7 linked regions of the Callithrix jacchus genome follow. The protein of the gene in region 6 interacts with the protein of the main gene of each other region in a pairwise test. Links are inferred from orthologs where the notes say so. Each region holds a gene or a part of one and is shown on either strand. Other genes may lie near its edges.

Evidence for each region.
Region 1: the proteins of FAM9B (region 6) and FERD3L interact in binary tests that used the Homo sapiens proteins (3 or more experiments, as listed by UniProt). The two-hybrid records come from large-scale screens. The link is inferred for Callithrix jacchus from reciprocal best matches to the Homo sapiens genes FAM9B and FERD3L.
Region 2: the proteins of FAM9B (region 6) and SDCBP interact in binary tests that used the Homo sapiens proteins (3 or more experiments, as listed by UniProt). The two-hybrid records come from large-scale screens. The link is inferred for Callithrix jacchus from reciprocal best matches to the Homo sapiens genes FAM9B and SDCBP.
Region 3: the proteins of FAM9B (region 6) and CHRAC1 interact in binary tests that used the Homo sapiens proteins (3 or more experiments, as listed by UniProt). The two-hybrid records come from large-scale screens. The link is inferred for Callithrix jacchus from reciprocal best matches to the Homo sapiens genes FAM9B and CHRAC1.
Region 4: the proteins of FAM9B (region 6) and TUFM interact in binary tests that used the Homo sapiens proteins (3 or more experiments, as listed by UniProt). The two-hybrid records come from large-scale screens. The link is inferred for Callithrix jacchus from reciprocal best matches to the Homo sapiens genes FAM9B and TUFM.
Region 5: the proteins of FAM9B (region 6) and PHYH interact in binary tests that used the Homo sapiens proteins (3 or more experiments, as listed by UniProt). The two-hybrid records come from large-scale screens. The link is inferred for Callithrix jacchus from reciprocal best matches to the Homo sapiens genes FAM9B and PHYH.
Region 7: the proteins of FAM9B (region 6) and RUSC1 interact in binary tests that used the Homo sapiens proteins (3 or more experiments, as listed by UniProt). The two-hybrid records come from large-scale screens. The link is inferred for Callithrix jacchus from reciprocal best matches to the Homo sapiens genes FAM9B and RUSC1.

What each region holds. Positions count from the first base shown.
Region 1 is NC_133512.1:39,274,513-39,278,792, forward strand, and holds the start of FERD3L (fer3-like protein), read left to right. Parts: upstream 1-1,480; 5' UTR 1,481-1,994; coding exon 1,995-2,483; 3' UTR 2,484-4,280. UniProt on the Homo sapiens protein: Transcription factor that binds to the E-box and functions as inhibitor of transcription. DNA binding requires dimerization with an E protein. Inhibits transcription activation by ASCL1/MASH1 by sequestering E proteins.
Region 2 is NC_133517.1:14,796,746-14,800,845, reverse strand, and holds the start of SDCBP (syntenin-1), read right to left. Parts: upstream 2,801-4,100; 5' UTR 2,774-2,800; exon of another isoform or gene 2,755-2,773; intron 1-2,754. UniProt on the Homo sapiens protein: Multifunctional adapter protein involved in diverse array of functions including trafficking of transmembrane proteins, neuro and immunomodulation, exosome biogenesis, and tumorigenesis.
Region 3 is NC_133517.1:57,028,427-57,032,534, forward strand, and holds the start of CHRAC1 (chromatin accessibility complex protein 1), read right to left. Parts: upstream 2,801-4,108; 5' UTR 2,735-2,800; coding exon 2,576-2,734; intron 2,136-2,575; exon of another isoform or gene 1,820-2,135; intron 212-1,819; coding exon 85-211; intron 1-84. UniProt on the Homo sapiens protein: Forms a complex with DNA polymerase epsilon subunit POLE3 and binds naked DNA, which is then incorporated into chromatin, aided by the nucleosome remodeling activity of ISWI/SNF2H and ACF1.
Region 4 is NC_133513.1:29,105,866-29,110,081, reverse strand, and holds the start of TUFM (elongation factor Tu, mitochondrial), read right to left. Parts: upstream 2,801-4,216; 5' UTR 2,722-2,800; coding exon 2,670-2,721; intron 2,559-2,669; coding exon 2,364-2,558; intron 1,870-2,363; coding exon 1,703-1,869; intron 1,448-1,702; coding exon 1,343-1,447; intron 1,255-1,342; coding exon 1,090-1,254; intron 944-1,089; coding exon 811-943; intron 727-810; coding exon 622-726; intron 493-621; coding exon 341-492; intron 248-340; coding exon 128-247; intron 1-127. UniProt on the Homo sapiens protein: GTP hydrolase that promotes the GTP-dependent binding of aminoacyl-tRNA to the A-site of ribosomes during protein biosynthesis. Also plays a role in the regulation of autophagy and innate immunity.
Region 5 is NC_133508.1:14,325,849-14,329,348, forward strand, and holds part of PHYH (phytanoyl-CoA dioxygenase, peroxisomal), read right to left. Parts: intron 1,907-3,500; coding exon 1,796-1,906; intron 503-1,795; coding exon 334-502; intron 1-333. UniProt on the Homo sapiens protein: Catalyzes the 2-hydroxylation of not only racemic phytanoyl-CoA and the isomers of 3-methylhexadecanoyl-CoA, but also a variety of other mono-branched 3-methylacyl-CoA esters (with a chain length of at least seven carbon atoms) and straight-chain acyl-CoA esters (with a chain length longer than four carbon atoms).
Region 6 is NC_133524.1:9,247,216-9,251,321, forward strand, and holds the start of FAM9B (protein FAM9B), read right to left. Parts: upstream 2,801-4,106; 5' UTR 2,697-2,800; intron 1,965-2,696; 5' UTR 1,899-1,964; coding exon 1,808-1,898; intron 1,323-1,807; coding exon 1,202-1,322; intron 1,023-1,201; coding exon 991-1,022; intron 1-990. UniProt on the Homo sapiens protein: May play a role in meiosis.
Region 7 is NC_133519.1:15,748,535-15,752,717, reverse strand, and holds the start of RUSC1 (AP-4 complex accessory subunit RUSC1), read right to left. Parts: upstream 2,801-4,183; intron 2,799-2,800; coding exon of another isoform or gene 2,279-2,798; exon of another isoform or gene 2,200-2,278; 5' UTR 2,073-2,199; coding exon 710-2,072; intron 444-709; coding exon 33-443; exon of another isoform or gene 1-32. Other genes in the region: FDPS (farnesyl pyrophosphate synthase), read right to left, coding at 3,242-3,442, 3,937-4,071, 4,173-4,183. UniProt on the Homo sapiens protein: Associates with the adapter-like complex 4 (AP-4) and may therefore play a role in vesicular trafficking of proteins at the trans-Golgi network. Signaling adapter which plays a role in neuronal differentiation.

The sequences.
Region 1 (4,280 bases), on a different chromosome or scaffold from region 6:
CTGAGAAGCATTTAACATAATTTAAAAATCAACAATAAATTTGCCCAAATATTTAATAACATATTAATTTAAACAAGGGTTAGAAAGCATGTTAGTACTTTTTTGAAACAAAAATCAATTCTCCCATTTACTAGCTTCATAGCCACTGTTGACGAACCTATTAGTTTTTGTTTTTCAGCCTTCCCTTTGAAAGAAGCTTAGTAAAAATCAATGAAGTAATATCCAGGATCTCAGTCTCATTAACATCTTCCGGATCACAAATTTCAATTATTCTCTGCCTGAGTTATCACAATGCAAACTGGAGAATGAAGGGTAAACACAAGCAAATGAGATAAAATCTATTAAAAGATCGAGAGACACCAGACACAAATGGGCTAAAAGAAGAAAAAGAAGAATTCAAAGTTATACGTTTTGGTTACACACCGAGAGGTTAGGAAGAACAAAACGAATTGAGATTACCTGTTATAGAAATAGGCGGTTTCTGGGAGCTGTCCAATGTCCTGAGTGAACCATCACAGCCACAACTTACCCCTTCATAGGGACTGATGTCCTCAGCGGTTCTCTTTTGAACCGGAATGTTTCTACATTCATCTTTTTAGGCTGCTTCTTCTACTCTACCTTAAAAATTATCTTCTAATCTGTCACTTTTACCCAATGGGTCTTTTAAGTAAATCTTTACACAGTACTGTGTAATTAAGTAAATATAATTATTGGCAAACAAGGAAAAAAAAGAACCCGTTTGTTAAAATATTAGGGATACTAGAGATAATATAAAATCAGGAAAATCTTATTTTTCTTATGCCAAATTTAAAATTTATCTCAAAAAATAATGACCTAATGATAGCCAAAAGTCTTCCTTATATATAATGCAATAAATAATTGTTTCTGCTCTTAAATCTTAATGTAGGACAACACAAATCAATGAGGAAAATACGCCAGATGGAAGTGTTAGGTTTTTTCTTTGTTCAGAAACAAATACTCGCTCCGCAACTTAAAAGTCGGAGGACTTCTCAGCAGAGGACTCCTTGGCTTATCAAGGGCAAACCGCATTTCTGAAAGGAGCTTGAAGTGGTTTTGTTTGTGGGGAGAGTTTGCAAAATGTCCTGAGCTTAAATTTCTCATTTTATTGCCATTATAACTTTTCCTCTTGGAATAAAATCCTCTATTTTACATGACTAGGAGGTAAAGTAAGGAAAGGAAAGTCAAGTATCTCAATTGTTAAGCTGATTGCCTCCAAACAGACTTTCGAAGTCAGGGTTTGTAACGTGGCAGGAGAGCTGTTTGCGATGCCCTGGAAAGAAAAAGAAAGCCGGTTCCAACAGCGACTCTAGGGAATGCACTCTCGGCCCCCCTGCCATGCTTACTTAAGCTAATGGAAGGTCTTGCCTTTCAGCAGCCGCTGCACTGGGATACCAGACAAACAGCTACCCTCGATCCCAGGCAGGCAGGGCCCCTCTTCAGGACATCATTAAAAGCGCATGCACTTGCTCCACATCCATTGGCAGATGGTGGCAAGATTCAAGACTCCTACCCTGAAGTCAAGGAGAAGCCATCGCGCTGGAAAACATCCTCGCTTTGAAAATCCAAAACGAAATTAAAGAACTACACGAGATAAGGAGCCTAGAGAACATTAGTTGGCTGCAGGGGTGAGGAGAGACACAAAAAGCACAGCAGGTAAGAGCTGGGGGTTTTTGCCAAGAAGGAACTGTCCCGGGTGGCGCAGAGAAAAGGATCTCAGAACTGGAGTCCTGTCCCTTTGAGTCTTCCATGCGTGCTCAAGCTTGTCATCTTCCATAAGCTTCGAGAGGAGGGATGTTGTCAGAGCATTCCTTATCGCTGCGACTAATCCTGTTATCAGCTTGGTGATAAATATTTAATGTTCCCTGGCCCTTCGGTGATGATGCCCCATCAGATTCAAGGCTGTTAAGAATCCCCACCAGCAGCCTCGCTCCTCCCTGCGGAAAACCGATGAGAGGCAGGGCCAAGCCGAAGCGATGGCGGCCTATCCGGAGAGCTGCGTGGACGCCACGGTGCTGGGCTTCGTTGCAGACCTGTCCCTGGCCTCCCCGAGACGCCCTCTCCTCTGCGACTTCGCACCTGGGGCCTCCTTCAGGGACCCAGCCCTTGCGCTCCGAGAGGGAAGACCCAGGAGGATGGAGCGGTTTGAGGAGGGGGGCCCAGAAGAAGAGGACCAGGGGGACGGGGAAGAGGAGGAGGAAGAGGAGCGCGGGAGAGGCACCTCCCTATTAGGCCGCCCCAAGAGGAAAAGAGTGATCACCTACGCCCAGCGCCAGGCCGCCAACATCCGCGAGAGGAAGCGGATGTTCAACCTCAACGAGGCCTTTGACCAGCTGCGGAGGAAGGTGCCCACGTTTGCTTACGAGAAAAGGCTGTCCCGGATCGAGACCCTCCGCCTGGCCATTGTCTACATCTCCTTCATGACCGAGCTCTTGGAGAGCTGCGAGAAGAAGGAAAGCGGCTGAGCCGGGTGGGGAGAGTGCCCCCTCCTCGTCTGGGCGCGCTCGGGCTGGGGTGTGTCGGGACCGGGCGCGGGGTGCGGCCGGAGGGCAAGGAGGGACGCCCCAAGACAGAACGTCTGGCCTTCTGGAGCTCGGGTTAGGGATTGTAAGATCCCCAAGACCCCCGAGCAGAGTGGCTGCTGTAGAGTTCTTACCTACGCGACTACCCGTCCTAAGTGGAGTCGGTGTCAGGGGAGAGCCGGGAAGTCAGAGCGCTTGAGGATAAGGGGCCGTCCAGGCTGCTTCTGTGGGTTGGGTGGGTGGGAAGCAAACCCTCCTCGGAAATGGCAGACTTTGGAGCGTCTATAGAATCTAATCTCTCCTCTTTACCCTTTTTTTTTTCATAGAAATAATAATGTAGAAATTCTTACTTTTTAAAAAGCTTCAAGAGTCGGTGCCACGCCATCCCCGGCAGGCGCTCCAGCGGGCGCCTGCGTGGAGGATCTGGAGCAGACGCCCCGAGGGGCTCAGGATCATCTCTCTGGTCCTCCGAGGCGTGTCCAGGAACTGAGAGAAGGGAAAATGGAAGGCAGAGCAGTCGAGGGGAACTGCTGACAAAGTGCGACCTCTGCGAAGGGACATCCTTCCTGTCTTCCTTTGCCTCTTCCTCCCCTACCTTTCTCTCTCCCCTGCGCCAGCCCTCTCTTTCTTTCTCTCTCTCTCTTTCCACCTAGTTGATCCCAGAGGGACCATAGCTCCCTGTCCCAGGGCCACAGTGGTGTGGAGTCAGTGTCTTAGCCAGAGTGCCATTCTACGCTTTGCATCTTAAGTGCAGCGTCAGCTTCCGGTTCCAGTGCCTTCAGGCCCCAGCCAGAGTAAGGGACGAGTGCACTTGGGTCACTTCTGGGCCTGCAGCGGGCCTTGGGCGCCCTATGGCTTAGCCGACAGCCGGCGCTACCAACTCTGTGAAGGGGCTTGGATCTTTCTAGGAGCAGTGCCGCCTGAGCGCGCACTTTGACATTTTTAGCACTAGGGAGGAAAGATGTCTTTCACTCTTATGGCTTCTAGAGACTACCAGGAGAGACAAAAAGTCTAAAGAGGAGACGCGTTCAGACGCCTTGCAAAACGGCTGCCACGCAGAAGTTGAAGCGGGTCCATGCTGAGAGGCTGCCTCCAGTTTGGACCCCACTCTATTCCAGGAATCTCCCTTCTAGGTGATGTGCCAGAACTGGGGTCTTTTAGAAAGGAGGGAGTACCTGAGGAGAGGAACCTGATTGAATAATTCCCCCCAAACGTAAATTTAGTAATCCTAAAGGATAATCCCCAGTGATTATTCCAACACTTTATTTTGCCCCTCTTTATGCACAGGAATAGGCAGGCGCCTGTGAGAACACCTAATTCACTTAATCATGCTTTCAGAAATAGAATTCATTTCATTAATAGGTAATATATACTTCTAGAAAGTCTGGAAAACAAAAGTTCAAAAAAGAAAAAAACCGAATCACCCCACATTACCATATTGTTAGCATTTTCATCTATTTCTTTCCAGTCTTTTTCCCCCCTATGCAGTTATAAATTCAATATATTTAACTAATTCAACATACTTTGGGATACTGATATTTTTTCACTTGACATTCTAGAAGGTGCAATTGTTTTCCCTTAACTTGAAATATTATTCAAATGTGGTTTTGATTACCATATCTTATTGTCATATCCATGTATCACAACATCAGCCCTTTACAGATAGCTATTTCCTTTTTTAAAAAAATAAATGATGCTGCTAAGAGCATTCTTGTAAATGTCTTCTCTGTCTATTACTAT
Region 2 (4,100 bases), on a different chromosome or scaffold from region 6:
CAAAACCAGGAAAATCTGGAATACTAATTTGTGTTTCTTTTGTTGAAGCAGTTATTAAAATTTCTAGTAAAGTTGTGTTGCATTATCTCTTTATTTTCACTTATGCGAACTATTCATAAAATGAATGAAAAATGTAAAAAATAAAAATAAAGTATCAGGCCAGGAACCATGGCTCATGCCTGTAATCCTAGCACTTTGGGAGGCCGAGGTAGGAGGATTGCTTTAACCCAGGAGTTTGAGACCAGCCTGAGCAACACAGCAAAATTCCATCTCAAAAAAAATAAAAAGTAAAAAAATGAAAAAATAACATGTCCCCCAGATGGTAAGCATTCCAGATAGCTCATACATGGAGTCTAGAAACACAATTTTATATATCCTAAGCAGCCTTCCAGAGCAATGTTCTCAATATGGCTATTCATCAGAGCCAAATTACCAGAGGCTCTAGTTATTATAAAAACAGCTTCCTGGGCCGGGAGCGGTGGCTCACGCCTGTAATCCCAGCACTTCGAAGGCTGAGGCAGGCGGATCACAAGGTCAAGAGATCGAGCCCATCCTGGCCATCGTGAAACCCTGTCTCTACTAAAAATACAAAAAAATTAGCCGGGCGTGGTGGCATGCATCTGTGGTCCCAGCTACTCGGGAGGCTGAGGCGGAAGAATCGCTTGAACCCAGGAGACGGAGGTTACAGTGAGCCGAGATTGCGCCACTGCACTCCAACCTGGCAACGGAGCAAGACTCCTCTCAAAAAAAACAAAAAACAAAAAACAAAAAACCTCAGCTTCCTGAACAGATACAAATTTCATGGAAGGACTTAGGTACTCTGCTTTTTAATAAATATCCTGGGAGTTTCTGAAGATCAGGCATTAAGAAGTATGTCCATATAAAGTCCACTCTAAGTAGAATAATTAATTCTTACCCCTAGGATTCCATTTCTCAGCTACTGAACTGGCAAAAATCCAAAGTTTGACAATACTCTCCGACAGCAAGGCTTTGAGAAACACTCATACACTACTAGTGGGAGCGTAAACTAGTACAATTCCCATGGAGAATGAGTTTGCAGTAGCTTACTAAAATTCTAAATTCAAATACCCTTCAACTCTGCAGTATCATTTCAAGACCTGAACTGTACAAACACATGTGCACAAAGGAAGCAACATATGTAAAAGTTCATTCACTGCAGCACTGACTGTAACAGCCAAAGACCTGAAAGCTATATATGCTGATATTAGAAAGTTCCAAAATATTATCAATAACTGGAAAAATAAGAGCAAAATGTGGAGCAGTATATAAAATGTTAACGTTTATGTTAAAAGAAAGGAGACAGATGCAGTTTGTATGTTTGCCTGTGTAGATAGGATATTCCCGGATGAATACCCAAGAAATTTAAAACAGTTGGCTGCCTGCCAAAAGGAAGGAGACTTCATACTATATACCTTTGTATGCTGCTTAAATTTTGAGACACGTGACCGTTTACCTACTCGAAGACAATATTTACAAAAGATGTTGGCAGCACTTGAAAGAAAATTAATCAATGTGAACGTAACTATTACTAAGTGTAGAAAGTATTTTAAAGTTGTTTGGGGAGCTTTCCTTTTTTATAATCTCTTGGCATTTAATACCTATAAAAAGGACCCAAATCTGGCAACAGGGAAAATAGTTGTGCCACGCACATTTTAAGAAACTGTTTAATTAAACAGTACATTTAACTGGCAACCATTAGCAAATTCTTCCCCTTTTATGACTTTTACATCTTTTCCTATAATGCCCAAAACTAAAAATGTCTCTGAAGTTCAATTTCGTTTATAATGGAGAGACTAAACAAGCGGATGTTAGAGCTCGGTAAACCGAGTGTACTTTCTAAGGAAAGTACGTAATGGAAAAAATAACCGTAAATGTGTATGCGGTTATATAGAATAGATGATCCTAGAAACTCCTTTCAAAAATGTGCACATTCGAAGCCTCCATGACTCAATAATCCCACTTTGATCAAAGTAAAAACTTTCCGCATCCATATGCCTTCCCTTTCCCATCATTACAAGGAAATCCTGAAAGGAAAGCTGTGAGTCATCAGATCTCAGGAGTATTTCCTTCTAAACATACTCTGCGGGAAACGTTTCTCCTTCAGGTCCAACAGCACCAGGAAAAAGCTCAGGGCGAACAACCTCTCCCCACCCGCTTCCAAACAAGTCAAGGTTTCGCCCACTAAACACCTCCTTCCTGCTTTCAAATCCAGGACGTTCCTAATAACCCAAAAGGAAGCACAGCCCAAGAAACGCGGGGAGACAGGACGTTCCAAATAACCCAAAAGGAAGCGCAGCCCAAGAAACGCGGGGAGAAACCGCGGCCAGAGGCTCTTTCTTTACTTGTCTCGAGATCTTAGCGAGCGAGAACAACGAGGATCGAGAGACGGTCCCAGGAAGAATCCCAGAGCTGGGGCCGCGGTTGCCGGCGTTCACCCGGCCGTGCCTCGGGGCTCTACCCACCCCAGCCCCAGCCCCAGCCCGGAGAGGAGCTCGAAACCCGCGGGGTCCCGGGGAGCAGAGCGCGCTGCTCCCGCAAATTTGCCCCGCAGCCAGCACGGCGCAGGGAGGGGCGCGGAGCCCCTGAGGAGAGGGCGTCGCCGCCGCCTCCCGAAAACGGCTGCGACCAGGACGCTCTCGGTTAAAAGGCCCGGGGACCATCACGCCTCTGCCCCACGTCCCCGCGCCCGGGACCCGGCACCGGCGTCCCTCTTGCCCCCTTTCGGCCTCTCACCTAGCCCACAAGGACTCACTCACGGCCGCCGCCTCCTCCGGTCACTGGCACGGACTTCTGAGGCCCAAGGGTAGCAGAGCGGCGAGAGCCGGAGGACCGCCCCCGAGGCGCGTCACGGCACCGCCCCCGCCTTCCGCCCGCGCAGGCGCACGGCCCCGGGTCAGGTGATCCGGTTCCCTAGGTAACCGGGCGGCGGGAGTAAAGGGACCTGGGCGTGGGTAGTTCCTGCAGCTACCGGTATCTGGCAATGTAGGGCCGTGCAGGTGGCCCGCTGTGCCAACTGGCCGCTGCCCCGCGGTTATGCTCCGCGTCTTCTCCGCTCTTCTGGCAGTTCGTGCCCGCTGGCCCCTTTCCACCCACTCACTACCGTGTGTATAGCAGCTCACGGTCGCTTGGTTCTGGTCGCCTACAATTCAAACAGGTCTCGGGAGCCCATGCTCCCTCTTGGGATGCCTTCGACTTCCACCACTGCTGTCCTAACCTCACTCTCCTCTTGCTGTACCTCTCCACCATAGGCTCACAAATGTTCCTCTCACTCACTACCCCTTCTCAACTCCTGCCTTATTTTTCTGTTTGAAATGTGGGGGGTCGAAGGGGAAGTTACTAATCTTTGTCCGCCTGAGCTGATATTCCTTCGCTGTTGAGAGTTCTGTGTGGTGCTGCGCAAAAGTAATTACTGTTTCCTAATACAAAAACATAACGATGATTTCTTGAGGGCTGATGATGTGCCAGCCATAGCTCTACGAACTTAGTGTATAGTCTTATTTGGTCTTCACATCAGTCTATAAAATAAATACAACATCGCATTACAGACAGACTGAGGCACAGTTTACCCAAGAATAATCATAGTTACCGTGGAATACTGTAGAGTGCTTGACAAAATAGCATTTACAAGCAGTTTATAGCTAAATTAGTGCCACAATCATATCTGGCAAAACTAATAAAAAAAATCTGAGGGTAAAAGAGGTGACAACTAAAGATGAAAACTTTCACATGTACCCCAAAACCTAAAATGCAATAAAAAATTAAAAATAAAAAAAGAAAACTTTGCTCTCAGTAAGGTTATATGTAGTTAGGCTGATGAAAATGGACGTTTAAAAATAATCACAAGGTAGATTGGGAATGAGAAAATAAAACTTTTTGTTTTCAGATGAGATGGTTATCTAACATAGAAAATCCAGGAAAATTGACACCCCTCCCCTAAAAAATAGAATGAAAAGCAATTACAGTAAATTTTCATGAACAAGTTTAAAACAAGCTGATCCTAAGCCAAAATGCTTGGGACCAGAAATGTTTCCAATTTTGGATTTTTTTTGGCATTTATGAAATTCTCATTATATAATTAC
Region 3 (4,108 bases), on a different chromosome or scaffold from region 6:
CAAAGCAGAAGGGAGGCAAGGGGTATGGGAGTAGCTATTGCTGACTATTCATTTTTCAACCAGAATGTTTCAAAGACTAAGTACCTGTAAGAAACTGAAAAGTTTCTGATTCCTCTGCAGTGTTTGCTAAATCACTGTAAGTCAGTACTTTCTTTTCCTTTCCACTGCCATGTCTGTAGGAATAGGTAGCTAGATATTGAACAAAGAGCTCCTAAAAAAAAAAAAGAAAAAGTAAAATGAAAGATGTGCTTTGAAAATTTACCCCAGAGCTCAATTTTTAAAATTATGCTGTTGATAAGCTTATAACAGGCTTAAAATTACATTAAGACTTCAGATTATCTTGGTTTCTCAAATTAAATTACAAGAAATCACTGGGGAGGCCAGACATGGTGGCTCACACCCAGTAATACCAACACCTTGGGAAGCTGAGCCAGGCGGATCACTTGAGATCAGGAGTTTGAGACCAGACTGGCCAACATGGTGAAACCCCATCTCTACTAAAAATTCAAAAATTAGTTGGGCATGGTGGCAGGTGCCTGTAATCCCAGCCACTTGGGAGGCTGAGGAAGGAGAATCACTTGAACTTGGGACGTGGAGGTTGGAAGTTGCAGCACTCTAACCTGTGCAAAAGAGTGAGACTCCGTCTTAAAAACAAATAAATAAATATATCACTGGGGAAAGGAAAAACATGAGGTCAGAAAGCAAGCAAGGCTGGTATCAAAATTGGCGGAGAAGCAGGCATTTTCCAGAGTCTTAGATGTCTAACTTATGAAAAATACGAATCATAACTGTTCAATGAGCAACCTCTAGAGTAAAAGAAGCAAAAAGCCATTCAAAAATTCTGTTTGGCTCAGGAATACATTTTGTCTTCTATTTGCATACACTGTTTCTAAGGTGGTTCACCTATAACGATAGTGACCACACCTCCTATTCTGCTGACTTTTCTAGAACTGACAATCCTCAGACCTAATGCAACAACCGGACATCTTCCCCTCCCCAACCACAGTTCTTAAAGCAGGGCCAGGTCTTCATTTTTACAGAGGATAAACTAAGCCTCTTCCTCAAGGTTTTGATTTCAATGCATCTAGTTCAGTTAATAAGGGATGAGGATGGGCATGGTGGCTCAAGCCTGTAATCCCAGCATTTTGGGAGGCCAAGACAGACGGATCACCTGAGGTCAGGTGTTCAAGACCAATTTGGGCAACATCGTGAAACCCTGTCTCTACCAAAAAAAAAATACAAAAATCAGCCGAGTGTCATGGCGGGTGGCTGTAATCCCAGCGAGTAGGGAGGCTGAGGTTGCAGTGAGCAAGATCTGCACTGCACTCCAGCCTGGGGAACAGAGTGAGACTCCGTATCAAAAAAATTAATTAGAAATCTTAAGTGCCTGCATAAATCCTCATTCCCTAAAAGTAATAAAATGAAATTGTACAGGAAAACACAAATGTCCCCAGGTGAAATGCTGAATATGTAATTACTTCCCTGGGCTCTAGGAAAACATGGCTCTGGTATAATACAGCAGGCGAGAAATCTGTAATTTCCCATTTCCCTTAGTTCTGGTCGAACACTGTAGGGACATTATGTACTTAAATACAAGCCGGGACTGGGAAATAGGATCTAAGACAAGTTAAAGCCTTTAACTGTGTAGCTAAAACATGGCCCAGTCTCAGAACAGAAAAACATCTAGCCTAACACTATCAACACGCAATGTTTTTTAAAAAGACAAAATCTATTTTGTACCCAGGAGGATGCTTAAGAGGCTATAAATCTAGGTCCCCTAGACTTCCTTAAATTCTGGCTGGGGGATGTGCTTTCTCTTAGAGGAGGTGCCAGGTGTGGTGCGGAGCGGGGGGCTCGAAAGCCTGGGAGCGCTGGAGCTGGCGCCTGACCCGCGGGAGAAAAGCCTCGAGCCTTGGGTGGAGCGCCCGGCTGCCCCTCCCACGGAACACTGGAGGAGTTAGGACCCTCAAAGAAAGAAGCAGACCAACGGCAAGAAAAAGGAAGGCCAGGAATAGGGAGTCGCGGGTGAAAGAGCCGCCAAAGAAACCAAATGAGGCCAACTCCACTTGGCGCCGAAGTCTACGGGTAGGGCCGGAAGCTGAGCGCGGTGCGCGAGGGACTACGGGAGCATACAGGTGGGCGGAACAAAAGGCGCGCAAGGGAACTTGGGAGCTTATGGGTTTGCGGGACGGAAACACGCGATGGAGGGCGGGAGCGCGACGGGGTGGACGGGGCCGAAGGTGCGCGAGGAAAGGAGGAGCGAAAAGAGCGAGAAAGGGCGGGAGCGGGTCGCGGTGTATGGGACGAAGAAACTAGAGACAGGGAGGGAGCGGCGCGGGGTGGGCGGGGCGAAGACGCGCGAGAAAGGGAGGGGGTGCCGCGGGTAGGGGCGCGCTGCCACTCCGGCGCGCGCCGGCGTGGGAGGGAGAGGGGGGGCGTGGGAGGGAGAGGGGGGGCGCGCGCGAGCCCGGTAAGGGCAGCGGGAGGCGCTCGGGTCTAAGGGGACTGGACAGTGCCGGGAGCCTGGCGGGGCGGGGCGCAACGAGCAAAGGCGGCCCCACCCCCGCCCCCTCACCGTGGCCTTGGCCGTGAGCACCAGCGCCTCCTGGTTGATGCTGGACACCTCTGGGGAGCTCTTCATGATGACCCGGATGCGTGACAAGGGCAGCGAGACGAGCCGCTGCTCCCCGCACTTGTCTTTGCCCACGACCACGTCCGCCATCTTCCCGCTCATTGCGCGGGCGGCAGCCGGCGGGCCCGACCGCGAAGTGGCTGTCTTACCCGGCCAGCCGGTGGGTGCGAGGAGCCGCGCCCGCTGCCCCGTGGGAGTTGTAGTGTGGGGAGGCGCGGTCGCGCGGCCGGGAGCGGCCTCTTCGGGAGACTACGAACCCCGTGATGCCTCGCGCGCGCGCCCTGCGCATGCGCTGGCGCTCGGACCCTGCCCCCCCTTCTCCCACCCCCGCGCCGAGTGCGAGGCCCGACGCGGGCTGGGCGGAGGCGTCCCACTCAGGAGCCTGCGAACCGTGATCGCGGGACGGGATTTTGAGGTCCAGGGCGCTGCGAATGGGCAAGCAAAGCTCTTTGAGTCCGAGCCTCATCGCTCGGTGCTGTGTGTTAAGCGCCTGCGCTGTGCCAGGGCCGGGCGTGGTGCCGTGGACTTTCCTGCAGCACAGAGTCGTCGGGGGACGGCCAAGCGGACTAGCGAAGGCGTCCTGCACCAGTAGCTAGGCGGCCCGTGGAGGAGCAGAGAGCAGCAGCGCGGGCGATGCGGCGAGGCCGGGCTCGCTGCGCCGCGGGGTAATGGGGAGAAGCGCCTTCCTGTGGGCGGGGCTGGGGGAGCTGCCCTGAGGAGGGTCCGGAGCCCGCGGCAACTGCCTCTCCGGGACTGCTCCGAGAGAAGGCGTCCAGAGCCGGGTGTGCTCGCTGAGGTCTGACAGGCAGCCCGGGGCTAGGTCCTGATGGATTTTTTTCTCTGAAAAAAATGGGAAGTCGTGGAAGGCTTTGAGCTAAGGAGTCCCGGACAGTTTTAAAAGGATCCCTGCAGCTGCCAGCTGGGAGGGCGTGGGAGCGCGTAAGGGCGGAATCATCGAGACCAGGTAGAAAGTAATTAGAACCCGGGAACGTGGCCCTCAGGAGGCCGGCTGGACCAAGGGGACAGCAGCTGAGAGGAGAGTGGCAGGAGATGGTTAGGGGCCAGAACAGGGAGTGCCTTGGGGACCTCAGAATTCACTCCTTTAGAGCGGGGAGGCCCTTGGAAAAGTAAGGGGTCCAACTTAACTTTTACCAGGATCTTGGAAAGTGGTAGGATTTGGGGTCTGAGTTCAAGAGGGAGCTGAGGTGACGTGGACTACAGCACAGCTTTCTGAGGTATCAGAAAGGCCTCGGTAAAGAGCCGTGTACTCAGGGAGCACTGTGGCAGGAGCACATTTTGGCATAGGTTTGAATTGGAGCCTGTTGAGTGTAGTGTCTTCTTCACCACTGTGACCTCAGGTCCCGGCCCAAATAATTGAGCACAGAAATACATGTCAGGCATTGCTAGCGCAAGGGTTCAACCGGTGAGCAGGGCTGCCATGGCCCCTGCCCTCTTACAGCTGACGTGCGTGTCTGA
Region 4 (4,216 bases), on a different chromosome or scaffold from region 6:
AAGCAGCCCCTTTCCACCCAAGGAAATAAAGCCACTTGGATTGTCACAGTCTGTCTTTGGAACTAAGTGAAGCAAAGGTGATATAAAAAGTCCCCCCTCCACCCTACATTCCTCCCACCCACCATACCTTCCCTGGGGGCAGGATAACCCGACAGGCCATGTCCCACGTCATGGAGAACATGATAGGCATGTAGTGGGACACAAAGGGCTTGTGGCGGCCACCTTCCTCCTTGCTGAGGATGTAAACCTGGAGAAGAGAGCAATGAGGGTGAGCTGGGCTTGACTGGAATGCTGGGGACAGCTTGGCTCAGCCCTGCCCACCATCACCTGGAGCCCTCACCTGGGCCTCCACCTTGGGGCACGCCTGGATGGAACCCGGCTTGACCATGACCAGGCCCCGCCGTACATCCTCCCTCTTCAAGCCTCGGACCAGGGCCCCGAGGTTATCTCCGGCCTCGGCCCGCTCCAGGTTCTTGTGGAACATCTCAATGCCTAGAAGGGAAGGGGAAAAGGAAAAGGGAGAAGGGAAGCGAGTGTGAGGCAGAGGGAAGGCACAAGGGATCTGCCAGGGGTAAGGCCACCCTGCAGCCAGCCCCTGCTCCCCAGGCTGGCCTCCCGTACCTGTCACCACAGTGCGGATATTCTTGCTATGTCCCAGGAGCTCACAGTCATCTCCCTTCTTTAAAATGCCACGCTCTAGCGTACCTGTCACCACAGTGCCACGGCCTGGGAAGTAACAGGACAGGATATCAGGGACCCAGAGCTACGCTGCTGCTATAGAGAGTGTGTAGGAGCAGGCACAGTCCTCACCAGGGATGGAGAACACCGACTCTACGGGCATCAGGAAAGGCTTCTCCAGGTCCCGGGTGGGCACGGGGATGTAAGTGTCCACAGCATCCAGAAGCTTCTGCACAGACTTCAGGCCTAACTCAGGGTCCCGACCCTGTTGAGGGGAAGTGACAGGACTCTGAAATTCGTATTCCGCTCCTCTCAATTACCAAAAACCACTTCCCAGACACAGAGCAGAGCTCTGGTTGACCATCTAGCCTGACTCTCTGCAGCAGCCACTCTGCCTGACCCGGCCTTCACCTCAAGGGCACAGAGAGCAGAGCCTACGATGACTGGGGTCTCCTGTCCTTTATAGCCAAACTCAGTGAGCAGTTCCCGGATCTCCAGCTCCACCAGCTCCACCATCTCAGAGTCCTGGACAGCGTCAGCCTTGTTCACATACACCACCACATGCTCCACCCCAATCTGTAGATGGCAGAGAGACAGGGACAGTGTCTGGAGGGGCCCAACTACCCATTCTCCCCCTTTGCACCCCTACTCAGGGTTGGAGTACCTGTCTGGCCAGCAGTAAGTGCTCTCGAGTCTGGGGCATGGGGCCATCATTGGCTGCTACCACCAGGATGCAGCCATCAAGAGGTGCGGTGCCTGTGATCATATTCTGGGTAGGAGGAGAGGAAACAACCAGGTTCAACGAGTTCTTCAGTCCACATCCATGCAGCCAAGTGTAGCACTTAGAAATTGAGGCCCCCTTTCTTGGCCATCTCACCACCACCCATTCTGAGTGGCCATGCCCACAAACCTACCATCTTATATCCAAACACTGAATATCTTAACCCCCTCCCCACAAGCCTAAGATTTATCCTGAAATGAGGCAGCTTCTGGCCCTGTCTCCAGTGTCCCCTGCAACCCTCACCTTAACATAATCTGCATGACCCGGGCAGTCTGTGTGGGCGTAGTGGCGGGCGGCAGTGCTATACTCCACATGGGCCGCATTGATGGTGATACCCCGGGCTCGCTCCTCCGGGGCATTGTCAATCTCCTCGTACTTCTTGAACTTAGCCCCACCTCCCTCGGCTAGAACTAAAGGAGGAAGAGAATACACCTCTCAGCTAAAATTCCAGTGCTAGAAGCAGAGCTTAGACCACACCCCTGAACTCTCCCCACCTAAGACACAACCTCCTCCAATCTCTAACTCTTCCAGCAGAGAGAACTATGGGTCAGAAAGAAATGTTAAGAGAGCCTTAAGGGTCGGCCCTATGACTTCTTTAGAAGAGTACAGACTCTGCTTGCAGAGCATTCCCTACGGCTAGAGAGAAGCCGCTGGAGGATCACAAAGTTCTTCCTGATCAGGGGAAATCTGTCTCCTGCATCTCCCAATTCACCCGCCGCATAAGTTCGGGCTCTTGGGGCCACAGTAAACTCCTCCAGCAGTAAACTTGGGGGCCACAGTAAACTCCTCCAGCAGTAAACTTGGGGGCCACAGTAAACTCCTCCTCCACTCTGCTGGTCTCGCCTCCCTGGCTCGACGTTCCAGCAGTTGATAGGGCGTTGCTAGACGCGCCCACCCCACTCACTCTTCGTGATGGCTGCAGTCAGCGTTGTCTTGCCGTGGTCCACATGGCCAATGGTGCCCACATTCACGTGTGGCTTGTCGCGCACGTAAGTCTTCTTGGCCTCCAAGGCCAAGCTGCGGCACAAGAGGGACAATGCCGGGGCCTTCAGCGGCCGCAACAGACCCTGCAGCAGGAAAGTCGGGCTGGCGGCGAGACCTGCCGGGACCCAAGCTTGGAGTCAGGCAGGACGAGGCTCAGACCAAACCCAGCCACCTACCACGCCCCCAATGTGTTCCTGGGCCGCCATCACCCTCCCCGACCCCTCACCGCTGAAACGGGTCGTCGCACGCAGCAGGGTGGCGGCCGCCATTGTGGCCATACACGCGCCCCGGGAACCGGGGAACCGGGACAAGCAGCCGGAGCGCGCAGCGGATGAAGGGCGCTTGCGGCTAGAAGGCACTTCCGGCGGAAGTACAGGGCAGGAGGGCAAGTCCGGTCCCCTCTACCCGCCAGTGTCTATGGCCGTCTCCGCGGACTTCTGGCGCGCGGCTGAAGACGTCATGTAGGGGGCATGTGTCTCGGGGGCGAAGAATGAGGTAGAGGGTTTCCACTATTCGGGCCTCACGGGCTGATGGGCAACGTAGTTCTCTTTGGAGGCCGCGGGGGGCACTGGGGAGCGCCCCTAAAGCACCGACGCAGCGAAGGCTCATGGGCATGGTAGTTCCTGGGGCGGCGGGCTGTGGAAGCGCCCAGGGTGGGAGTCTGGCGGGCTAGGCCGGATCCGAGGGAGGGGCTTAGGCTACGGGAGGCAGCGGCGGCTCCCACTGCCTAGGAATCTCCTGAGACCGACAGAGAGAGACCACGAGTCCCCCGGAGTACGACTCGCTACGCGGGTCTTGGGAGACATCTGGCCACCTCTGCCGCAGCTGGAGGTAGGACCAGGTCCTGGACGCCTTTCGCGGGTGGGGTGAAGTGTGACCCCTCTCTCTGCTGACACTTTGTTTTCTTATCTGTAAAATTGGAATGGTAGTATCCACTTCATAGGGCGATTCTTTCATCTGGCCCTGAAAGGAGATGAACTGGGTAGGAATCACGGATGTGGTCCTGGGTGGTAGTCAGGGTGGGGCCCTGTGAGGTCAGGCAGCTTGCGGGGACCCTGTACTGCTTGACCTCACAGGGCCAGAGCCCACCAGACAGACAGCTTCGGTGCCCATCCTTATGGCCACTCAGCTGCCTAAGGAGGAGTTCCGTTGGGCGCCGCCCCACCCACCTAATTTTACAGATGACACCAAGGACGAGGAGCCAACTAGGGGAGCCTTTAAGGGCAGCCTGAGTCTCTTTTATTCCGTCTGTGGCCCCAGCACCTAACAGGGTGGAGCATGCAGTAAATATTGAATGAATGAGTGCAGGGGTAGTCAATGACCCTTGACTTTCACATCCATCATCTCATGGCAGCTTCCGCATGGCACTCTGAAGTGTTAATTGTGGCTGCTTAACCCTGATTTATGTTTCGGAACTCATCAGATCCTGAGACTCAGTGGACAGTGTTTGTTTCAAAGAGATTCCCTAATTCCTCCCCTGGAGATTATGATTCTGTGCACATACTGGGAAGGTATATAACCAACACCCTTCTAAAACGTTTGGCACGGTGGCTCATGCCTATAGTCCCAGCACTTTGGGAGGCTGAGGTGGGAGGATCGTTTGAAGTCAGGAGTTCAAGACCAGCCTGGGCAGATTAGGAGACACTCCACCCCTGCCCCCCGCATCGCTACAATCTTTTTTTTTTTTTAATTAACCAGGCATGCTAACAGTAGCATGTACCTGTAGCCCCCGCTACTCAGGAGGCTGAGGCAGAAGGATCTCCTGAGCTCAGG
Region 5 (3,500 bases), on a different chromosome or scaffold from region 6:
CCAGTGTGGGCAACAGAGTGGGATGCCATCTCCACTGCACTCCAGTGTGGGCAACAGAGTGGGATGCCATCTCCACTGCACTCCAGTGTGGGCAACAGAGTGGGATGCCATCTCCACAAAACAAAGGAAAATAAAATAAAATCTGCTAACTTTACTCCCACATCCAGCTCTAAGACTGATATGGTTCCTAGGCTCAAGTGATCCACCTGCCTAGGCCTCCCAGGGTGCTGGGATTACACAGGTGAGCCACTGCGCCGGGCCAGATCAGCGGGTTTTACAGGCAGGCATACGCACTGGCAGTGAAGCGGAAGCAAAGCAAGAGCGGTCTCTGACCTCGGGGAGAGTGCAGTATCTGAAGAGCTCCTTATCTTCCTGGAAATCCTGGACCTTTGTGACCGTCTTCTCACTGTGAGCATATTCTGATTTCAAAATGGCCACGTCTCTCATTACCGTTAATCCTAATGGTTTCACCTCCTTTCTGCAGATTTTTTCAAACTCATTCCTAGAAAATTAAACTTGCAAATGTTGTTGTTACCACTAGCTTGAAGCACCTGCCCAGCCCTCCTCTTCAGAAAGCTTTGCAGACTTGAGGGGTAGTGTCTCTGCACTCAGTTGACCTCCAGCTCGAGGGAGAATAATTCCAGTGAAAGCAAGGAGAAATTGTCAGGTTAGAATCCACTACCAGAATTAAATCATTCCTTAGCTTAGCATACTAGTAGGGAAATGTTATGATTTGGTTACATTGTAATAATAATAGCAAACACTTCTGTAGCACTTACCATGGGCTCTATTCAAAGTGCTTTCTGTATATTTCACCTTATTTGGTCCTAACAACAGTAGGACATAGGTACTATTATTATTATTATCTTGAGATGGAGTCTTGCTCAGTTGCCCAGGCTGGAGTGCAGTGGTGCGATCTGGACTCACTGTAACCTCTGCCTCCCAGGTTCAAGCAATTCTCCTGCCTCAGCCTCCCAGTAGCTGGGATTACAGGCACCTGCCACCACTCCCGGCTAACTTTTTTTTTTTTAATTACTTACTCGTGTAATCCCAGCACCCTGGGAGGCCTAGGCAGGTGGATCACTTGAGCCTAGGAACTATTACTCTTAGAGCTGGATGTGGAAAGGAGTTAAATTTTTAGTAGAGATGGTATTTCACTATGTTAGCCAGGCTTGTCTTGAACCCCTGACCTCAAACGATTCACCCACCTCAGTCTCTCAAAGTGCTGGGATTACAGGTGTGAACCACCATGCCTGACAAGTACTATTACTATCCCCATTTTACAGATGAGAAATCGGAGGCATGGGATGTTGAGTAAACTGCCCCAGGACACATGGTATTAAGTGGCAGAGCTGACACTGAAGCCTGGGTGTGGTGGCTCCCAACTGTAATCCCAGCAACTCAGGAGGGTGAGGCCAGGAATTCAAGACCAGCCTGGGCAGCATAGTGAGACCCCCATCTCTAAAAACAAATTAAAAATTAGCCAAGTGTGGTGGTGAACACATGTGGTCCCAGCTAGTCAGGAGGCTAAGGCAGGATGATTGCTTGAGCCCAGGAATTCAAGGCTGCAGTGAGCTATGATCGCACCACTGCACTCCAGCCTACACAACAGAGCAAGACCCTTTCTCTATAAAAAATAAAAAGGCCAGTTTGGCACCTGAGCCCATGCTTTTAAATATTTCCCAACAAACCAAATAATTAAAAAAATCTGTACATGCAGGAGTGAATCCACCACGTATTCTCATTACGTGCACACAATACATACTTTTGTAAAATAACAAATAGTGTTACTGACCGAAACCGTTGAATATCAGCATCAGATACCAGATTTTTAATTACAAGATACCCATTTTCTTCATAAAATTTTCTCTGTTCCAGGGTGAGAACATTATTATCCAGACTATACCTAAAGGAGAAAAAGAATCCCCAAATAAGTTACAGTACAGGCTGTGTACAATGGCTCACACCTGTAATCCCAGCACTTTGGAAGGCCGAGGCAAGCGGATCACTTGAGGTCAGGAGTTCAAGACCAGCCCAGGCAACGTGATGAAACTGTCTCTACAAGAAATACTGGATGTGCCACTGCACTTTGGCTTGGGTGACAGAGTGATACCCTGTCTCAAAAAAAATGTTTTTTTACTTACAACATAAAAATATGTTTTATACATATTTTTATAAAATATGTTTAAAAAATATGAGGCCAGGTGTGGCGGCTCATGCCTATAATCTGAGCACTTTGGGAGGCTGAGGCGGGTGGATCAACTGAGGTCAAGAGTTTGAGACCAGTTTGCGACAGAGTGAGACTCCGTCTCAAAAACAAAAACAAACACAAACAAACAAAAAACCCTAAGAAATGTTCATGCTCTTCAATCCAGCATTCCTTTTTTTTTTTTTTTTTTGAGACAGAGTTTTGCTCTTATTGCCCAGGCTGGAGTGCAATGCATAGTCTTGGCTCACTGTAATCTCCACCTCCCGAGTTCAAGTGATTCTGCTGTATCTACCTCCCAAGTAGTTGGGATTACAGGCACCCGCCACCATGTCCGGCTAATCTTTTGGTATTTTTAGCAGAGACAGAGTTTCACCATTTTGGCGAGGGTGGTCTCAAACTTCTGCTCAAACTCCTGAGCTGAATTGATCCAGCTGCCTCAGCCTCCCAAAGTGCTGGGATTACAGGTGTGAACCACCTTGCCTGGCCCAATCCAGCATTTCTACGACCAAGGAAATAATTTGAAAACTTAAGCCTTATGTTCAAAACATTAACTATAGTCACCAAAAATAGTGCATTAATAGAAGAAAAATTAACTACTGACATTATGTTCACTCAGTGAATATGATTCAGACATTAAAAATTAAGAACATATAATAGTATAGACAATGCTTACCATAATAAAACATTTTTTACAATGATATAAAACCAAGACATGAAAAGATATGAAAAAAAGAAAAGCCTGCAAAGAAAGACACCAAAGCATTTTTTTTTTTTTTTTCCGAGACAGAGTTTCGCTCTTGTTACCCAGGCTGGAGTGCAATAGCGCGATCTCAGCTCACTGCAACCTCCGCCTCCTGGGTTCAGGCAATTCTCCTGCCTCAGCCTCCTGAGTAGCTGGGATTACAGGCACGCGCCACCATGCCCAGCTAATTTTTGTATTTTTAGTAGAGACGGGGTTTCACCATGTTGACCAGGATGGTCTCTATCTCTTGACCTCGTGATCCACCCGCCTCGGCCTCCCAAAGTGCTGGGATTACAGGCGTGAGCCACCGCGCCCAGCCCACCAAAGCAATTTTTAACAGTGCTTGCCTTCAGTAAGGGAATTAAGAATGATTTTTTTTTAACTCCTTCTATTTCTCTGATGTTTCTGTAATGAATGAATACATATGACTTTTCACATGGAAGACAAATTCAATAAATTTTATATTTTTAACTGTCCAGTTGATTCACTCCAAAAAGTAACAAAATCCAAATAAATGTACTCAAATCCACCCAACCTATTCCTTAAGAT
Region 6 (4,106 bases):
AACACACTCAATGTATTAGGCAACTCACAAAACCAGCACTTTGTCACCACCAAGCGAGCAAAGCTTTCCAAATATTCTGCTTATGTGTATTATCGCTATAGAAAAGCTGAAAACTGAATTGAGCTTTTTAAAAATAAGAGTATTGTCTCCATCATCTCTACAGAAATTTTCTCAAACTTTTTTGAAAATACGGTCCTATAACAGTCAGTGCAACTAACATGTAACATGCCTATACAAAATGTATGAGTTTTTGGATCCAATGACATGTTTCCCACTGGGTAGAAAAGTTGTCTTTCCTTTTCTACTACACAGTTTATTGCTGGAATAATAATAGAAAATCATTTTCGAGAATTCAATTTTTTTAAACAAAATCAGAAAGCTGTGACAATAGAATAGCTGAATTAGAAAGATGAAAAACTCCTATTAAACACTCTGAGTACATAGGGACAGGAAGAGGAGAACAACAGACACCTGGGCCTACTTGAGGGTGGCAGGCAGGAGGAGAGTGAGGATGAAAACCACCCAGCAGGTACTATGCTTATAATCCTGGGTGACAAAATAATCTGTACACCAAACCCCTGTGACACGCAATGTATCTAACAAACCTGTACATGTACCCTCAAACCTAAAGTAAAAGATTGAAAAAAAAACTGATATATGACTTAATCTGTGTACACTGAAAGGATTGAATAGAGCTGTTTCTCCTCCAATGTCCTCTAATATCCCCCAACAATTAACTTTCCATGTGTATGAAAGAAAAGCCATCCCTCTCGATTCACCATTGTTAGAAGCATTCTTACATTACACATTAATGATCACAAAGGTAAGAAAAATTTATCAAACAGATTATGGTAAATACTTAAGTTAAATGCTACATATGAGAAGAAGGCATGTAAGACAGTCTGTCATCCACTAATTCACATAACCTACTGTAACAGTTGTACCGTTGAAAACAATTTTCATAAACTACAGATACTTCCTAAGGCATACCTGCAATATCTTCTGGCTTGTTGGTATCAACCCTATAAAAAAAAAAGTTACATCAAAATTTTAACATAGGACTACACAAAATGTCGTGTTTGTTGGGAAAAAATGTCTTATGTGAAATGTTCTGCATAGACTAGAACGGTGATGACATGATCCAAAGCTGACTTTTCCTAAAAGGCTCTATCCGACAGACAACAGTGACTTCACACTTTACCCCTCATATTCATCTGTTTCATCAAGAGGTTCTCTTTCCCCCTGCTCAGCAGTTACATCTTCCTCCTTTGTTTCTGTAAAAGGGTTTCTTTCCTCACGTTCATCAATTACTGGATCCTTTCCTGCATCAAAATTTAAAAGACAAATCCGTTTTTAGAGGAAGACGCTGTTGTGGACATTTTTCATGGAGAAACGTACCGTTTGTGGACTTGTTTTTGGCTGTCTGCCAACTAAAGCTTTAAAGCAGGGCTATACGTGGAATCACCGGCTCCTGACCATTTAATGGAGGCACTTTTGGAAGCCCTTGGGGTTCAAGTCCCAGTAAACGACACACTACAGGTCAGACTCCTTGGACGCCAGGACCTCAGCCATGGAGAAGAGCTACTCTGAGAGCACCTGTAACCCTGCCTGAGGTGGAGCCTCCCGTGGGAAGTCTAAGGCCCTCGAGCCTGCTTTGAAAACCGGGATGTCTTAGCACGTGCACAGTGGACTCCAAAGCCATGAAGAGGCCGGGGACCTTGGGTTGCCAGTGTGATCCCCAGCAGAGATCAGACAGACGTCTCCTTGGGCGTGCGCCTGCTTCCGGGTCCCCTTGGGCTGTGTTTACCTGCATGCTCTTTGTCCTGGGCAGCCATACCTTGAGCTTCCAAGTGGGCCTTGGCAGCCCTCCTGCTGTGCTTTCTGCCCCTGCGTTCCATGGCTGGCCGTCCTGGGAAACTAGAGGCGACCCCGGAACCTGGTGAGCGCAAAGACGACTAAGGAAGCTAAGGAAACGAGGCGTCAGAAAGGAAAGCCATTGGGATCGCGGGTTCAAGATGGGTGGGGTTGGCCCTCCCCGAGTCTCCTGTGGGAGCAGGAGGGAGGGAGAAGATGCCAGTGTCCCCTCCCGTCCTGGCCCGTCCAGCCCGTCCCCGGGGGTGGCTGCAGAGTTCACAGCTGCCTCACACACCTGAACTCCACGGCCTCTGAGGCATCCTACCCGCGCCTTTGGGACAGAGTTTGGCCTTGCCCTTGGATCCCCAAGAGACCCTGAGTGGCTGGGAGGGCGGCGGAGTGACACAGGATCTCCCCAGCCATCTCCAGAGGAATGTCAGGAGCTACACTGCCACTCGCTCTCCTGGATGCACAGGGCACCTCCAGTGACCTGAAGTGTCCTGTTCTGACAGGATGCTGGGCAGGAGAGACCCACTCAGACCGTCCCCCATAACGCCCCCGGCCCGCCTCACTCCCCTCCCCGGCACCGTCAGCCCCTCCCCCTTGCACACCTACAGAAGCACCCAGAACACTCCCTCGTCCTGGGGGGCCACCCAGGTGGCTCCAGCTCCCTCCCTGCTCCAGCCACCCCAGTCTACCCTCAGTGCCTCGCCCTGACCTAGGCCCCAGGTGAGGACCCCAGGACCATTTCCTCACAGGTCAGCTGGCGCCCAGCTCTTCACACCCTGGTTCCCAGACGGTCTTGTGCCCACCTTCCCACCTCCCTGCCTCAAGTGCGTCACCTGAGGGACCCCTGATGTGGCTCCTTCACAGAACCTACAGAAGACACTGGCACTACGAGACTGTCTTAGAAAGAGACCCGGCCTGGCTTCCCACGCTCCTCACTGATTGGTCAGCTCAGTGCGCATGCGCATGCGCATGCCGGTGAAGGACTGTGTGGGGCCAACCCCCTGCTGCCACGCCTCTCCTTCCCCTTAAGGGACCGACCAGGGCTTACTGTTGACTGAAGTTGGGGTGGCCCTTTGGGGCCTCCATCCCCACAATCTTCTGGCTCCTCCTCTTGGGGTGGGATGCAAGGACTCGGAATGGAGGCCAAGTGGACAAGGCCTCCTAGCATCTCGCCCCTGGACTCGTTCCAGCCACCCCTGCCCCTTTGGCTGGAATGGCCATCACCCTATGGGTGGTGCCCAGGCTCCTTTCCATTCCCTGTGTGCTTCCAACATGCCCTGCTGCATCCTTTTTATCAATGGATTGCGCTTTTATGTTTTCTGTTTTTGACACTGAGTCTCGCTCTATTGCCCAGGTTGGAGTGCAGTGGTGCAATCTCGGCTCACTACAACCTCTGCCTCCCGGGTCGAAGCTATCCTTCTGCCTCAACCTCCCGACGAGCTGGGATTACAGGCTCCCAACACCAAGCCCTGCTAATTTTTTAAATTTTCTTTTCTTTTCTTTCTTTTTTTTTTGAGACAGAGTTTTCGCTCGTTACCCAGGCTGGAGTGCAATGGCGCGATCTCGGCTCACCGCAACCTCCGCCTCCTGGGTTCAGGCAATTCTCCTGCCTCAGCCTCCTGAGTAGCTGGGATTACAGGCACGCACCACCATGCCCATCTAATTTTTTGTATTTTTAGTAGAGACGGGGTTTCACCATATTGACCAGGATGGTCTCGATCTCTTGACCTCGTGATCCACCCACCTCGGCCTCCCAAAGCGCTGGGATTACAGGCTTGAGCCACTGCGCCTGGCCTAATTTTCTTATTTTTATTTTTTGGCTGATCTCAAACTCTTGACCTCGGGTGATCCGCCTGCCTATGCCTCTCAAAGTGCTGAGGTTACAGGTGTGAGCCACCCCACCAGGCCCACAACCTTTTTTGTTTCCTCACTACTTTTCTTGCCCACAGGCTTGCCCAGGCTTGCCCACAAACCCTCATGCTCCAGACTTTTCCAGACATATCCCACAACCTTCACCCTCAAATGCCTTAATATCGTTAACTCAGCTTGTTTCCACCTCCAGTCTTCTATAATAGGTCGTAAAGGTTGTTTTGGAGTTGGGAGTGAATAAATACTGCCTAGAGTTGGTAAATCGAGCTACAGAGGTTCATTATGTTATTGAAATTATAAAGGCAGTCATCAGGAAAACTAATCAACAGCCTTTAATGTCTATATAACGAGAAAGAGCACACACAAAGCATACA
Region 7 (4,183 bases), on a different chromosome or scaffold from region 6:
TGGCCCGCGGGGCTTGCCCGGGTCCGTCTTACGTAGCCTGGGCTGAGGCGATGGGCTCCTGGTCCAGCGAGGGGCCTTCGGCGGACGAGGTTGCGGTGGCAGCGGGGGGGCGGGTACCTGGCGGGGTGGGGGAGCCGCGGCGGGGAAGGTGCTACTTCTGGGAAAGAGCGGGGACAGCAGCAGTGCCAGCTCGGGGCTGGCCAGGCAGGGCAAGGCTCCCCGAGTCGGAGGCGAATAGGCTCCCACTGGGGACAGGCGGACCGGCAGCAGCTGTTCCTCTGGGGGGGTCGGCGCCCCCAGCAGCCGCAGCCCGGCGCCGGGCCACCCGGCCAGAGGCGCCAGGAGCAGAGACCCAGCTGCGCCCGCGCCCCCACCCTCCAACAGGGGGCGCCCGTCGGCCGAGAACCGGAAAACCAGGGGCCGAGGGAGCAGGAGGGGACCGGCTGCAGGCAGGATTGGCGGGGCCAGGCGCAGAGGGAAGGAGGGCAGCGGGATGGGCAGCCAGGCAAGGAGGGGCGGGAAAAAGAGGGAGCAAAGAGTTAGTCCCGTAACCCAATGACCAGTTTCCCTTTCCCGGAGCGCTCCCTGGTAGAAGGGCCGGGGAGGATGGGAGACACAGAATGGAGGGAAGACAGGGGGCGGGGTTGGAAGGCTAGGAGGCGTGAGCGGCCGAAGCCCAGCCCTCCTCCCGCTTCTGACAACCTCTTACCCTCCAGGCCGGCCTGCGCGCCCGGCTCCTTCTGCTCCTTCGCGGCTGGGGCCTCCTCACCAGCCGCGGGGCTGACAGCCCGGCTCTCCTCGGACTGCCCTTCCGCTATGGGCTGCAGTCCTGGTCGGTTCTTCTTTCTTCGGGGAGGGACAGGTGGGGGTGGGGGCCGGGGCGGGACCAAAGCCCAGCCAGCTGGGGGGTCTCGAGGCGGGACTGGCGGGGGTGGGGCTCGGCTTCGGGACCGGAGTTCCTTGAAGGTGGTGACTTCCCGAGGAGGTCCAGAGGAGCCGCCCAGCGACCCCGACGGGGGCAGCTCAGTGTCGGGCGAGAAGACTATGAGCCAGTCACTGCGATCTTTCTTGGCCTGCGGGACGAGGGGCAGCCCTGGGCCCCGCTTGCGCTTCTGGGCCAGCTCGTGGAAGGACGTGATTGTCCGGTGGGGCACCGGCTCCTCGCTGACGTCACTTCTCCATCCTCCATCAATTTTCCCTGCATCTGTTTTCGAGCCAGAATCAGTTATTGTGTTGTTTTTCCAACCAGAGTCGATTTTTTCAGGTTCACTTTTCCAGCTAGAGTTAACATTCCCGTTGTTTTTCCAACCAGTGTTATTGTTTTCAGTGATTTTACAGTCAGCTTTAGTTTTCTCTGTGTCAATTTTCCAAATGGGGTTAATCTTCCAACTGGGCTCCGTTTTCCCAGCGTCGATTTTTCCATCATCCACCTCTAAGAGCTCCGAGGTAGGGAGATCCTGCTCCGCGCTCTCGTCTTCTTCCTCCAAGCCTGGGGAAGGGAGGTCCTGGCAGGTGGTCAGGGCATTGCAGTTCGAATCCAGGCCAGGGTCGGGTGAAGAAGCAGATCCGGAGCAGGAATCAGGAGAGCAGCAGAAGCTGTCCGGTGAGCAGGTGCCAGGGCCTGCTGAAGCCAGTGGGGAGCCCTGCTCCAGGGGGATGATACTGGGCTGAGGGTGGGCATCCTCATCACCAGGGAGGTCCCGCAAGTAGACAGAGACAGGGGACTCATCTGGGCTAAGATCTGAGCAGGAGCTGAGCGAGGAGGAGCAGCCTGGGTCTGAGGGAGAGGCAGCCCCCTCTTCCTCCTGTGACGGGTCTTGCCGGTTTTCTAGGCCTGGACCGTTCTCTTGGCAGCACCGGCAGGGCACAGCTGGGCTGTTGGAATTGGCGTCCACCAAGGTGCCACTGCAGGGACCCCTGCTCTCCTTGCCCCCAGTGTCTCCTGGGAGAGGGGGTGTGCTCAAGGGCCCCTCCCGTAGCTCAGGACGGCGGGACAAGTGCAGGCCCAGGGAGACGTGCTGGAGGTGGATGTGGTTGAGGTTGCAGAGTAGAGCTCTCTGAGGGGACAGCATTGTGCCGGCGGCGATGGGATGGCCTCTAGAGAACCAGGAGGATTGGGTCTCTCACATCCACCTACCTGGCAACCACAGGTGTAGACCTAGAAGACAGGGGTGGCGAAGCCCAGCCACTGAGGACGAGCTGCCGGAAGGACACCGAGGTGACCGGCGGCAGCAGCAGGCCTGAAGGCTCTGACTGCTTTGGAAGATATTTCAATGAGATGCAAATCGCAATCGACTGGCCATTAGTTTCCACTGCAGTGTTTGCAGGTGGAGTCGAATGTAACCCCCCGGGAATGGAGCGGGGAGGGTCAGAGAACGCGGCTGCGCTCTGGATCTCCGAAGGGGGGCGGGGGCCTGGAAGAGGTCGGGGCCCTGAATGGACTGCTGGGTCCCTGCTGCCGCAATCTGACCCTGCCCTCCAGCCTACCCCTTACTCCTAGATTAAGGGACCCAAGAAGACCCACCCAGATGCCCTGAAAGGAGGCAGGGGATGGGGGTGGGGCAATACGCAGAGTTTGCCTGGTAAATGCAGAAAAGGGGTGGCGGCTGGAGGAGAAAAGGATGCAGCAGCCGTCAGCTTCTCAACTCCGCATCCTCCGGCTGCCTCGGCTGGGCTCCAGCCTGCGCCCTCGCCCCTTGGAACAGCCGTGTGTCCATCATTCTCTCCGCATTCGTCTCCATCATTCAGCCACCACCGCACCCTTTCTCTATTCATTTGTCCAGCCCCGCCCAGCGTGCCCTGGTCTATCGGTCTACACCCATGGGCCGAGCCCTCCTCACCAGGGTCCTCCTGGAACCGCTCCGGCCTTGGGCTTGTCCGCGGCTCCCACGGTCCCCGCCCGGCGGGGAACAGAGCAGGAGGGGAGGGGCACTAGGACAACCCACTCTTCGCCGCGCAGCTGCACCCCTTCGCGCATGGGCGTGGCGTAGCTCAGCCCCGCCCCTAGCGCTTAGCGTCTGGTTTCACTCGCCCAGAGGGTTGGCTATATCCCAAGCTTTTGACCCCAAGGGGCGCGGATGCCAAGGCCCCTGGGTTCTGCTTCCGTGCACCGAGTCCTCCCAGCAGCCCACCCCGAGCATTCAGAGAACCAGACTCCGGCTGGGCCAAGCATTAACAGAACACAAGATTACACAATAATTTATTTATTGAGAGCCTCCTCTCCGCCCTTGCAGTCTCTAGGTCACTTTTTCCGCTTGTAGATTTTGCGCGCAAGCCCCAGAAAGATAGCTGGGGGCAGGGGCGCTGCGTACTGTTCAATCAGAGCCATAATGTGGTTGTAACTGTCTTCCTCATACTTCGAGAACACAGCCGGCAGATCCAGCTCCTCATATAATGCCTTCACTCTGGCCACCTTCTCAGCCTCCTTCTGCCCGTAATTTTCCTGGAAGGGATTGGAGACAGGAAGCTGGGCTTGGCCTTCCCCAGAGCCTCCAGGACACTCACCCCCAACCAATTCCCTTCATTCACATATTCCAGAACATCTCCAAAGCCACCCACTCCCTTCTTGCCTCCAATTTTCAAGTGTCTCTAGATAGCTAAGATCACAAGCTTCCCTTCACCATCCCAAATATTCCCCACATATTGGCTCAGACCCCAGCATCCTCTACTCCAGGGTTTTTCAACCTTGGCACAATTGAAATTTGGGACCAGATAATCCTGTCTGGGGAGCTGTTCTGTGTGTTACATGTTTGGCGACATCTTTGGCTCCTGCCAACTAGATGCCTGTACCACACACGGAGTTGTGATGACGATGACAAAAAACGTCTGCTGACATTGCCAAATGTCCCCTCGGACAAAACTGCCTCCAGTTGGGAACCACTGCTCTGGCCCTTTCTCACCAGCTCAGGGACCCACCACCCGCCCGCTCTCAAGCACCTTCAGGATCTGGCGCTGTTCCGGAGTGGACCGTTGCAGACACTGGACCACGAGCCAGCTGCATTTGTTGTCCTGGATGTCAGTGCCAACTTTGCCAGTCACACTGGGGTCCCCAAAGAGGTCAAGGTAATCATCCTGGGTGGGGGGAGGAGCAGAAAAGGAGGAAACAGATGAGGCCCCCAGGCAGAGGAGTGAAGCTGGTGCCTGTTCCCTGCAGCTGCCTCCTGCCTTCCTACCTGAATCTGAA